2 linked regions of the Caenorhabditis elegans genome follow. The protein of the gene in region 2 purifies or fractionates together with the protein of the main gene of each other region. This does not show direct contact. Each region holds a gene or a part of one and is shown on either strand. Other genes may lie near its edges.

The links.
Region 1: the proteins of T08B1.4 (region 2) and copb-1 fractionate together in Caenorhabditis elegans (co-fractionation; one large-scale study listed by BioGRID). This does not show direct contact.

The regions. Positions count from the first base shown.
Region 1 is NC_003280.10:3,076,756-3,082,009, reverse strand, and holds the start of copb-1 (Coatomer subunit beta), read right to left. Parts: upstream 3,215-5,254; 5' UTR 3,205-3,214; coding exon 2,712-3,204; intron 1,623-2,711; coding exon 1,414-1,622; intron 753-1,413; coding exon 670-752; intron 1-669. Other genes in the region: Y25C1A.8 (Zinc finger Ran-binding domain-containing protein 2), read left to right, coding at 5,064-5,196, 5,243-5,254.
Region 2 is NC_003283.11:1,977,631-1,983,531, forward strand, and holds T08B1.4 (Fungal lipase-type domain-containing protein), read left to right. Parts: upstream 1-1,637; 5' UTR 1,638-1,807; coding exon 1,808-1,956; intron 1,957-2,345; exon of another isoform or gene 2,346-2,346; coding exon 2,347-2,435; intron 2,436-2,573; coding exon 2,574-2,629; intron 2,630-2,674; coding exon 2,675-2,818; exon of another isoform or gene 2,819-3,438; coding exon 3,439-3,912; intron 3,913-4,819; coding exon 4,820-4,936; 3' UTR 4,937-5,111; downstream 5,112-5,901. Other genes in the region: T08B1.1 (Major facilitator superfamily (MFS) profile domain-containing protein), read right to left, coding at 5,158-5,314, 5,443-5,658, 5,705-5,901.

The sequences.
Region 1 (5,254 bases), on a different chromosome or scaffold from region 2:
CGCCTATTTTTTTTTATTTTGACGGAAAACGCGAAATTTTCAAGGTTTTGAGTGGTTTTTGTGGGGATTTTCGGGAAAAATTCATAAATTTCCTATTTTTCGCCTATTTTTTCCGGTAAAATCTCAAAATTTTCCAGGTTTTCAGTGTTTTTCAGGCTAAATTCACAAAAATTGCAAAATTTTGGAGGTTTTGGAGGTCTCAAAACTGCAATTATCTGATTTTTCGCCTATTTTTTTTTGACAAAAATCGCGGAATTTTCAAGATTTCGGGGTCTAAAGACGGTAATTTTCTAACTTTTTATCTTTTTTTTTTTCAGAAAAACGCGAAATTTTCACGGTTTTGGGGCTTTTGGCGTCTAAAACTCGATTTTTTTGAGAATTTTGATAGGTTTTTCAAGAAAAAATAAAGATTTAATTATTTTTCAGCTTATTAACGAAAAAATTGCACAATTTCCAGGTTTTGGAGCATTTTTTTCGAAAAAAAAAAACTCAACATTTTTCATTTTTTCAGGCTATTTTTCGAGAAAATCGCTGAATTTTTAAGGTTTTGGGGTCTAAAAATCGTAATTTTCCAGTTTTTTCGCTAAAATCGCACAATTTTTATGGTGTTGGCGATTTTTTGTCCATTTTTTCCAGGAAAATCCGTCATTTTTCCAAGATTTTCCTCACCTAACGGCTGGTGATGATGACTGAAGAAGATTGTAGACACATCTGATGAATCGGGAAGCCTCGTTTGGATTATTGTGGCAAACCTGAAAGAAAATTGGAGTTTTTGGATGATTTCGGCCATTTTTTTTCAGTTTTTTCGGTTAAAATTGGAGGAAAATCATATTTTTCGATAAATTTATCGTATTTTCGTTGAAAAAACCAATTTTTAGTTAATTTTAAAATTAAAAATCGATTTTCACACATTTTTATAGTGAAATTTCTAGATTTTCACGATTTTTCTGAGATTTTTGCTTAAAAGTTCATATTTTCATTCAATTTTCATAAAAAGCGACGTTTTAAATGAAAATTCTCCGTTTTTTTAAAACAAAAATAGCCTGTTTAACAAGTTTTTCTCAAAAAATCGATATTTTCAATCAATTTTCTTGAAAATCGCCGTTTTTAATGTAAATTCTCCATTTTTCAACGAAAAAACGCCATTTTTATAGCTTTTTTACTCTAAAATTCACATTTTCAGTTAATTTTCATAAAAAAAGTGCCGTTTTTAATGGAAATTCTCCGTTTTTTAACAAAAAAAAAAACCCCATTTTTACAGGGTTTTGTCAGATTTTTCCTTAAAAAACCGCAATTTTCTTGAAAATCGCCGTTTTTAATGAAAATTCTTCGATTTTCAACGAAAAAAACCCCATTTTTACGGGTTTTTTCTCAAAAAATCGATATTTTCAGTCAATTTTCCACAGAATGCACCTTATAAATGAGTTCAACAATAACGAGCTGCAATATATCTCCAAAAGATCCGACTTGATCGATACATCCCGATAAATAGTCAAGAGCACGAGCTTGATCTACGTGAAGGAGCATCATAAAAGCGTTACGCTTGCACGAAGCATCTTGCTCCTGTTCAAGGTATTCTGTGACGAGCTCCGGTGCGTCTGGGATCAGGAATTCAAAGTTTTCTGGAAAAAAAGCGGGATTTTTGGATTAAACGGGGAAAAAATGATCAAAAAATGCGAAAAAATCACCTAATTTTAGCTAAAATCATTAATTTTGGTCAATTTTCCGGTCCCGAAGTTGGTTTTTTCTCAAATTTTCACCTTTTATTGCATATTTCCATTGATTTTTCGTTAATTAAGGTGCATTTCAAGACCAAACTCGCATTTTTAGCTGAAAAATACGATTTTTCCTGGTTTTTTTGCAGAAAATATGACATTTTTAGCTGGAAATCTGCAAGTTTTTCAGGTTTTTCCCTGAAAAATTCGATTTTTCTGCTTAAAATAACGAAATTTTACGTATTTTTAGCTTAAAACATCAAAAAGTCGAATTTTTTTTCCATCTTCCAGCTTAATAATCGATTTTTGGCAACAAAAATCAGACAAAATGCTCATTTTTCAGCTGAATATTGGCATTTTTGCCGTTTTTCAGCGAAAAATAGTCAGAATTTCGTTGGAAATGTGATTTTTCTTGAAAAATCATGAAAAATCGTATTTTTCAGCAAAAAAACTGAAAAAAAAACCCCAAATTTTAGCTGAAAATGGGATTTTTGCCATTTTTGGCTGACAAAATCGCATTTTCAGCTAAAAATGTGTTTTTTGGCATAAAAATTGTAAAAAATCGTATTTTTCAGCTCAAAAAACATGAGAAATCGCAATTTTCACCAAAAAAAACTGAAGAAACCTTCAAATTTCGGCTAAAAATGCGATTTTTGCCATTTTTGGCTGAAAAATTCGCCAATTTTCAGCTAATAAAGGGATTTTTTCGCAAAAAATCGCAAATTTCACCGAAAATGAGCCTAGAAAATCGCATTTTGGAGCAAAAAATCAAAAATCTTAAGAAACCCTCAAATTTCGGCTAAAAATGCGATTTTAGCCGTTCTTGGCTGAAAAATTCGCCAATTTTCAGCTAAAAATGCGATTTTTTGCAATAAATGTACCTTTTATCAACTAAATAACGTAAAATATGCAATAAAAGGTGAAAATTCTTGGAAAAAAGTCATTTTTCGCATTTTCAAGCCCATTTCAGGCCTAAATAAGCCCAAAAAAACTCACTATAAATAGTGAAAATCGCGCAGACAGCGTTACGACGAACATACGAGTGCCGATGCTCCAAACAAGCTCTAATCGCCGGCATAAGCGGCTCGAGAAGCTCGGGCTCACGGAGTTTGCACAAAAACCGAAGGGTCGAACCGCGAACGAACTCATTCGGGTGTTGAAGGTCTTTTCGGTAGGCATCGCACACCAGAATCATCTCGTGGAGCAGCTTTCCATTGGAATCCGTCTTCGGAACACATTCCCAGAAGATCAAGAGCACTTTTTTAAGGGTGTGCTCATTGGATGGAAGACAGAAGCGGATGACGTACATTAGCATGCTCTGCGACGTTTTTTCTCCGTTTAAAATCATGTAAATGAGCTTTTTGAGCGCCTCAATTCGCTCTTTATCGCCTCCTTTCTCGAATTTTTCCTTCAATTGAGCTTCTGATGGGAGCTCAGCGTCACTGGGCACGTGGATGAGTGTGTAGCATGGTTGCTCTCCGGAGCTCATTGTGGAGGAGCTGGAAATTCGGGTTTTTTGTGGGGAAAAGAAAGAAAAAAGTAGAGAAAGTTCACGTTTTAAAAAAAAATTTGTGAAAAAATTGAATTTTCCAGCTAAATCGCATTTTTCTGTGAAAAATCATCGAAAATCATCGAAAAACGCCAGAAAATGAATAAAAATCGTCAAAATACGCTGGAAAACCCCCGAAAATCGCCTTTAAGCATGAAAAATGCCCAAAAACGTCAGAAAATGGATAAAAATCATCAAAAAACGCTGTAAATGACAAGAAAATCACTCTGAAGCATGAAAAATGCTCAAAAACATCAGAAAAATCAAAAACATCAGAAAAATTGAATTTTTGACCATTTTTAACCCTAAAACTCTTCGAAATCCAGCTGAAAACCCGATTTTTTAGTCAAAAATTCCGTTTTTTGGCGTAAAAATCGGAAAATCCCGGCTTTTAACCTAAAAATTAGGTGTTTACTGAAAATTTCCAAATTTTCGGCTAACAATCCCCATTTTCAATCGATTTTTTCCATTTTTCACTGAAAAAATCAATTTTTTAGCTTAAAAATCGAAAAATATCGGTTTTTAAGCTAAAAAATCAGATTTTTACTGAAAATTTCCAAATTTTCGGCTAAAAATCCCCATTTTCAATCGATTTTTTCCATTTTTCACTGAAAAAATCAATTTTTTAGCTTAAAAATCGAAAAATATCGGTTTTTAAGCTAAAAAAATCAGATTTTTACTGAAAATTTCCAAATTTTCGGCTAAAAATCCCCATTTTCAATCGATTTTTTCCATTTTTTCAGTAAAAAATGCCAAATTTTTTACTAAAAATGCAAATTTTCTGACTGTTCTTGTAAAAAAATTGAAAAAATTCAATTTTTTGGACAATTGTATGCAAAATTCGCCTTTCCCTCGGTTTTTTTTTGTGGTAAAACCCCGCGAAAATTCGCTTTTTTTGCCTTAAAACTTAATTTTTAATGGAAAAAAAAACGCGAAAAGTTGCAAAAATCCACAAAAAATGCGATTTTTGTTAGTTTTAGCTGAAAAAAATTGCATTTTTCAGCTAGAAATCTGAAAAATCACACAAATTGTTGCTAATAATGCAATTTTTGCCAGTTTTGGCTGAAAAAATTGCATTTTTCAGAAAAAAATACTGAGAAAACCACCAAAATTCTGCTGATAATGGGATTTTTTGTCGTTTTTGCCTGAAAAAATCGCATTTTTCAGCAAAAACTGTAACTTTTTCTGCAAAAAACACAGAAAATCGAATTTCTAATGGAAAAAAATCGCAAAAATCCACAGAAAACTACGGAAAAAGTTGCGAAACTTGATTTTTCACAAAATTCTCTCATTTCGCCTGGTTTTTATTGATTTTTTGACAGAAATCTAGGCTTTAAAGCTGTAAAACCCAATTTTCAACGACAAATTGATTTAAATTGACCTAATTCAACGCCACGTCACTTTTCACTCTTTCTACCTGTTTTTTATCGATTTTTGCCGCTTTTTCGACTGAAATATAGCTTTAAAAGCTTCAAAAATCAATTTTTAACCTCAAAAACCCACGAAAAAACGAAAAAATCCGCTGAAAACCGGCAAAAATCCACGTAAATCGCCGGAAAAAGATTGGAATCTAGATTTCTCGCACAGTGACGTGGTTCTCGCCATCCACCGTACCCCGTGACACAGCGGCGGGCAAATCGTGGCGAGACCCGGCCGCATTTTGAAATGTGATAATTTACACGGAAATCGACACAAAAAGCTTAAGTTCTCTCGGTTTTTCGTGTTTTTTTCACGAATTCCTAGTGATTTTTTATTTTTTATTCAAAAAAACGCAATAAAAACCCGATTTCAGTCAGTAAATGTCGTCGAAATACGACGATGATCGAGAACAAAAGCGTCGAGCGCTGAAAGACGGTGAATGGGCGTGTGTCGACTCGAAATGTGCCAAAGTAAACGAAGAATCACTTCTTGTATGTGATGAATATGGAAAACGTGAGGTTTTCGACGATTTTTCACCCCAAAAATTATCGATTTTCAGCGAAACCGCGCG
Region 2 (5,901 bases):
AAGTGACCTTCCTGATTCATTGAAGTACCCTAAACGATCCTTGACTCGATTCGATTCAATGACCATTTGTGTCCACTCAACCATTTGTGTGTGTGTCCCAATCCCCCACATCGAAAAAAATCGTCGTTCTCATCCAAGGTGACACAACAACCGGTTTCCCATCTTCTCTCCGGGTTCTCGTCAAGAAAGACACGCATACACAAAAATGTGTTGGTATACATGCATTTTAGGCATGTTTTTTCACCTTTTTACAGTCATTTTTACAGGTTTTTTGTGTGTGTGTTTTCGAATTAGAATATTCATGGATTTTCGTACTGTTTCTAAATGCTTAATATCAAGGCAGAGTATTAGATTTTTTATTTGATATTTTGTTTGAAAGAAACGTCAAAAAGGTGAATAATTTCACTTTTGAAGTTCGGCAACATTACTTTCGGTCTCGAAAAAAGCATGCGCCTTTGAATATAGTCTATATTCCTTATTAAAAATTAAGTTTGAATAATCTAGGTTTTTTTTCATTCTTATGTATACTATCCATATAGTATGTACATTTGCCTGTCTGTCTGCCTGCTTACTGTTACCTAATGTCACAATACTTGTACATTTACATGCGATCGCAAAGTTTAAATAATTAGGTAGGCACGTAAGCAACATACATAAAAAGTTAAAATCTCAACCGACTCCGACCAAATCTTGGCTTGTTGTATTTTTGCATTAAGATTTAACGGTTTAGATTTAAAGATTTCAGATTTCTGGCTTTCATCATAAATTAAAATGAAAGAGTTTGCCGAACTAGGCCATTTTGGCTCAGCCATATCTGGGGTAGATTTACAGCGCGTTGCGTGTCGCGTCGCGGCTCGTTTTTAGTTGTAAAACTAAATGTATTTGTCCGTGTGGAGTAAACGACTTTTCCACGCGTTGTCCGGCAGGCGATTGCCAATGGAGCGCGAAAAATTCAATGAGGAAGGCCAGAACCCCGTGAGATTTTTCACTTTTTTCTTACAATTTGAAGTTGCATTTTTAATATTAAAATTTGAGTAAAACTATATAAAACACATGATTTTGCGAACGTTCATTGTTCTGATTTTTTTGTAAATTTATGCAAAACACCAATTCCCCACAGATTAACTGTCACGAACTACAATGTACGAAAATCAAAGCCGCAGGCTATTTCGAAAATCACGAACTTTTCTTTGTCAATGTTTTGATAAAAGATCAACACCAACCAGTTTCTCCTCCTCCGATTTCTAATTGTTAGTCGATTTTTAGTGATGATGACTCACTTCCTCATTTATTTGATCTTGTTTTTCGCGCTCCTATATATTTATTCAAAAATGTTTTTCTGCTTATAAACATTTTTGAATAAATATATAGGAGCGCGAAATATCTGCTCTGCGAGCATTTTCATTGAAACGTTCTTATTTTTCAAAACGTTAAATACATTTTTCTGACCGGAGAATTACTTTTTCCGATGTTTTTATTTTTTTCTGAAATTAACAATCAAATTGCAATAAATATTCAAGATTTTTTAGCTATAATAGAACATATGATTTTCAGGCATAATTACAAGTGTTTCAAAAATTTCTAATAGATATATCCGAGGGCAAATTAACTAGATTTGTGTGTTTTAAAATTGACTGGTTCCAAATTCAAACATTAAATTAGTTAAATTGATTTTTCTAGTTAAAAAAAATACCAGCGCGCCAAAATATATGGTGTATTGACCTCAAGCGCACAATTTTGCACATGTGTCAATTCTTATATTAAATACACCCAAAACAACCATTACCTAACCATTTTTTTTTCTAGGATGCGATCTTTGCTCCTTCTCCTCTTACCGCTCCTTTCGGTATCAATTCCACTTGGGAAACAGACCGGTTACGACGATGCAGAAGCCAGAAGACTTGTAAAACTGGCAGCAGCAGCGTATGGGGAACGACATGTTTCTTGTATTAACAAGTAGGTTTTTTACTCGGCCACTAGTGAATTTAGACATATTATAGCTTTTTATAAATTTAAATCATATATTCTTAACTGCGTCATCACCTCCATTTTGGCGGGAAATTACATTTTTCAATTTTTAAAAACTTAAGAAAAAATCGAAAAATTTCATAAACGTCTGGAACGTTTCTAAATTAATCCGAAATTTCTGGAAATTACTAGAAAAAATCCAAGAAGCTTTTGGAAAAATATAGGAACATTTTTGAGAATGCGGCATGTTATAGAACCTTTCAGAAATTTTGTTAAAAAGGTACGGTCCAGGGGTAAAAATTTCAATTTTTGTCGAGGTTACTTTTGAGACAGAGTTTAAAAATAAACTATAAAAGAAACGAAACAAAATAATTTCAGAGCCTTCGGGAACGGAGAAAATTTTCATATTGAAAATATCGAGCAAAAGAGTTGCGATCACTTGGATAGTACCTGTGCGTCGTTTACAGGTAGGTGCACTATTGCACATTTTTTATTAATACCTACGTTCCTGCCAATTTTTGAACTTTGACTAACCCTCCAGGCAGATAGGAATAACGTTTTTGCGAAAAACTTTCTTTGGGACTTTATCTAAATAATTTTTCCAGTCGTCTCCGAAAATGCACGACGAATTATTGTGGTGTTCCGAGGAACACGATCTAAGGTATGTGAATTTTGAAAAACTTACAACAGTTTTTTTAATTTTCAGTCTCAACTATTCCTAGAAGGATGGCAGTCCGTCGGAACCGGAATTGATTTCTTTGACATGGGAGAAGTCAATAGATATTTCCTAAATGCGCATTTGGTACTTTGGCCGGAAATTGAGAAAGTCATTACGAATCCAAGATGGGCGGTCAGTTTTTTTAAAAAATTATTTCGCATTTCAATTAGTTCTATTTAATTATGTGCTCTCGTATATTCGGAAATTCGGACAAATTTTCATGATTCGAAATTGCAAGTAGATATTTTGAAAACCGGCAATAGTCAATATTGTCGATTGCCGAATATTTCAAAAATCGTTAATTGCCAAAATCGCCGGTTTTCAGAATTTATTAAAGGTGGAGTAGCGCCAGTGGAGAAATCGTTAAAAACCACTCCTTTGGTCCCAAAATGACCTAATATCACAATAAAACGTTTCAAACAATTTTTGCAAATTTTTTATTTACTGTCAAAAAGTGACAATTACTCCGTTTTTGCCACTCATAATTTTGGAAGTCGACCAAAAAAAATTTTTTTTTCTACAATTTTTATACTGTTAATTTGTTTTAATTATTTGGATTAGAACATTGTAGGGGTCGGAACATGCGATGAAGCTTTGGATTTCCTCAAAAACTCATATTTTTCCGAATTTCGGCAATTTGCCAAAACTTCGACCAGAAATTATGAAAAATCTAAAATTTTTTGGAATATTTTATTATGATATTCGGTCATTTTGGATTATTGATTTTCTCTATTTTACAAAAAAAATTCCAGAACTTCGATATCACCTTCACCGGTCACTCCCTCGGTGGAGCTCTTGCTTCTCTCGCAGCCGCCCGTACCGCAAAACAAGGCTTCCGATCTGGCTCTCAAATTAAAGTCTACACCTTCGGCCAGCCACGTGTCGGAAATGTGCAATTCGCTCGCAACTTTGACGCGATTCTCCCGAACACTTATCGAGTGGTCTTCCGACGAGACATCGTTCCACATATGCCAGCGTGTCACAAGAATCAGACATTCATCTCGGAGCACGAAGGTGGAGCAAAGCCGTGTCACGCAGAGCACCAGGATTATTATCATCATGGAACGGAGATTTGGTATCCGGACGAGATGAGCGCTGGAGCACATTATGTCGAGTGCCTAGGGGCTCCGAAGAATGAAGATTTTGGATGCTCGGATAGAATCAAGTTTTTTGTTGATCAATCTGATACGTACACCTGGGATCATCGACATTATTTTGGAGTCAAGGTAAGGGAGAGTTATTTTTTAAAAGGTTTATTAGGTTTTTGTTTAGTACGAAACATTTTGAAATTAACGACAATTTTTGAAAAAAAGGAAAGCGTAAATTTAATACCGAAACAACCGAGTTTATGCTGTAATTAGGCATTTGGTAGGCATGCTAGCAGGTTTTATATAAGCGCGTACATAGGTAACCAGGCATTAGGTAGGCGTTAGGTAGGAACTTTAGCAAGCAGGCATCAGCTATCCACGAAGGTATGCAGGAATGATTTCGAAATTAAGAAGATATAAATGAGGTAGGCATGTAAGTAGGCAGACACATTATAGGCGCGTAGGCAACCAGACATGATGTAGGCACGTAGGCGTTCAACCTAGTGGTAAGATCTTATCACACGTTTTGACATTTTGCACTTTGTAAGAGTTCAACCTCTCCTCCTCTTGCAACCAGGCACACATATGTCCTGATCAGGTGTCAAAATAGATGTGACGTAGATAAAGTTAATGTTGCGACTTTTTTTTTGCCAGCTGTGTGTCATTTTTTGAGAATGTATGGAATTTTAGATTTTTTTAGCGAAAAATTACCTTAAAAATTTTAATTTACCTCACGATATCTTACTGTCGTAATAAATTAATTAAATTTTAAATTGAATTTTAAAAACTCACAACTTGGGCTTTGAAATAGTTTTTAAAATTTGTTTTTTTTTTTTTGGAAAACCGGAAACTCTATTAAAAAATTATTAATTGTTTTACGGAAAAATTTTATGTCTAAAAATTTTAGTCAAAGATTTTCAACAACTGTTTTTAAATGAGATTTTGAATTTTAATTCTTAGAAATGTGTAAGAAGCTTTAAGTTATTTTAAATAAAACCATCTTATCCTGAAAAAAGTTGTGCATCATTTCTGATTAATTTTCCAGGTACCACCATATGGAAAAACCGGATGCGATGATCTACTTCCCGAAGGAAAACCAACAGTTTTTGAAAATGTTGTGAAGCGGCTCAATTTGCTCACAAGAACCATTGGTTTGGATTAATTTCAATGCTTAGTATCCACCTTGCCAGCCCCATTACGAAAATCTCAATTTCCCCCAAATTCTGTTTATTTGACGACGTGTATATTGAAGTGCATATTGCATAAAAATTCGATGAGTTATTATTTACATAATTTTTATATAGACTTTCCAAAAAATAAGAGAAACTATAATTAAAAGAAAGTAGAAATTTGATAAATACTTGCTTCCTATCCGTCCTCAAATCAGTCTTCCTTCACATTTGGCCCACTGTCCTTTTCCTTGAAAACCCACGGACTCGACACCTTCTTTCCCATGAGCTCTGCAGCTTTGGCGGATTCCATATCTTTTCGGTGCTGTTGACGCGTCTCACTTTGATCTACACGGTGACCAGCGGCAAGTCTGAAAAATCAAAGCAACCTTGCAGAATCAAGTCAGAAAATGTTAAAAATTATGAGTTACATTATAAAACAAAGAAAACTTTACAAATCTCCGATCTCCGAATTTCGAAAATCTCTTCATAATCTTACCTCATCAAAGCTCTTGGCAATTCGTTTTCCAGTCGTCCATAGTTAGCCTCCACCATTTGATCCATCAACGCCTTTCCTTTGGTCTCAGGCTGGAAGAAGAAACCGACTAGAATGGTCAGAACTATCATTGCTTCAGGAATCACAAATGCTCCAACAGGCCAGGTGGAAGTGAGAAGTGGCTTTAGGATCAGGAATCCAATGATCGCTCCGATGTGCCTGAAATTATATTGTTTTCAGAGTATTGAAAAGTTTAGTAACTGACCTGAATGAGTGCAAAAATCCGAAAGCAACACATCTAATCACAGTCGGGTATCTTTGAGTGGTAATCTGCACAATATTAATCCAGAAAATACAGTCATTGATCATAGTGGTAACGATAACCAGAATATTCACAGCCTTTGAGTCATAGGTACAGGTTCCCGTGGCCACCAACGCAATTACTACTCCGAAGAGGATTCC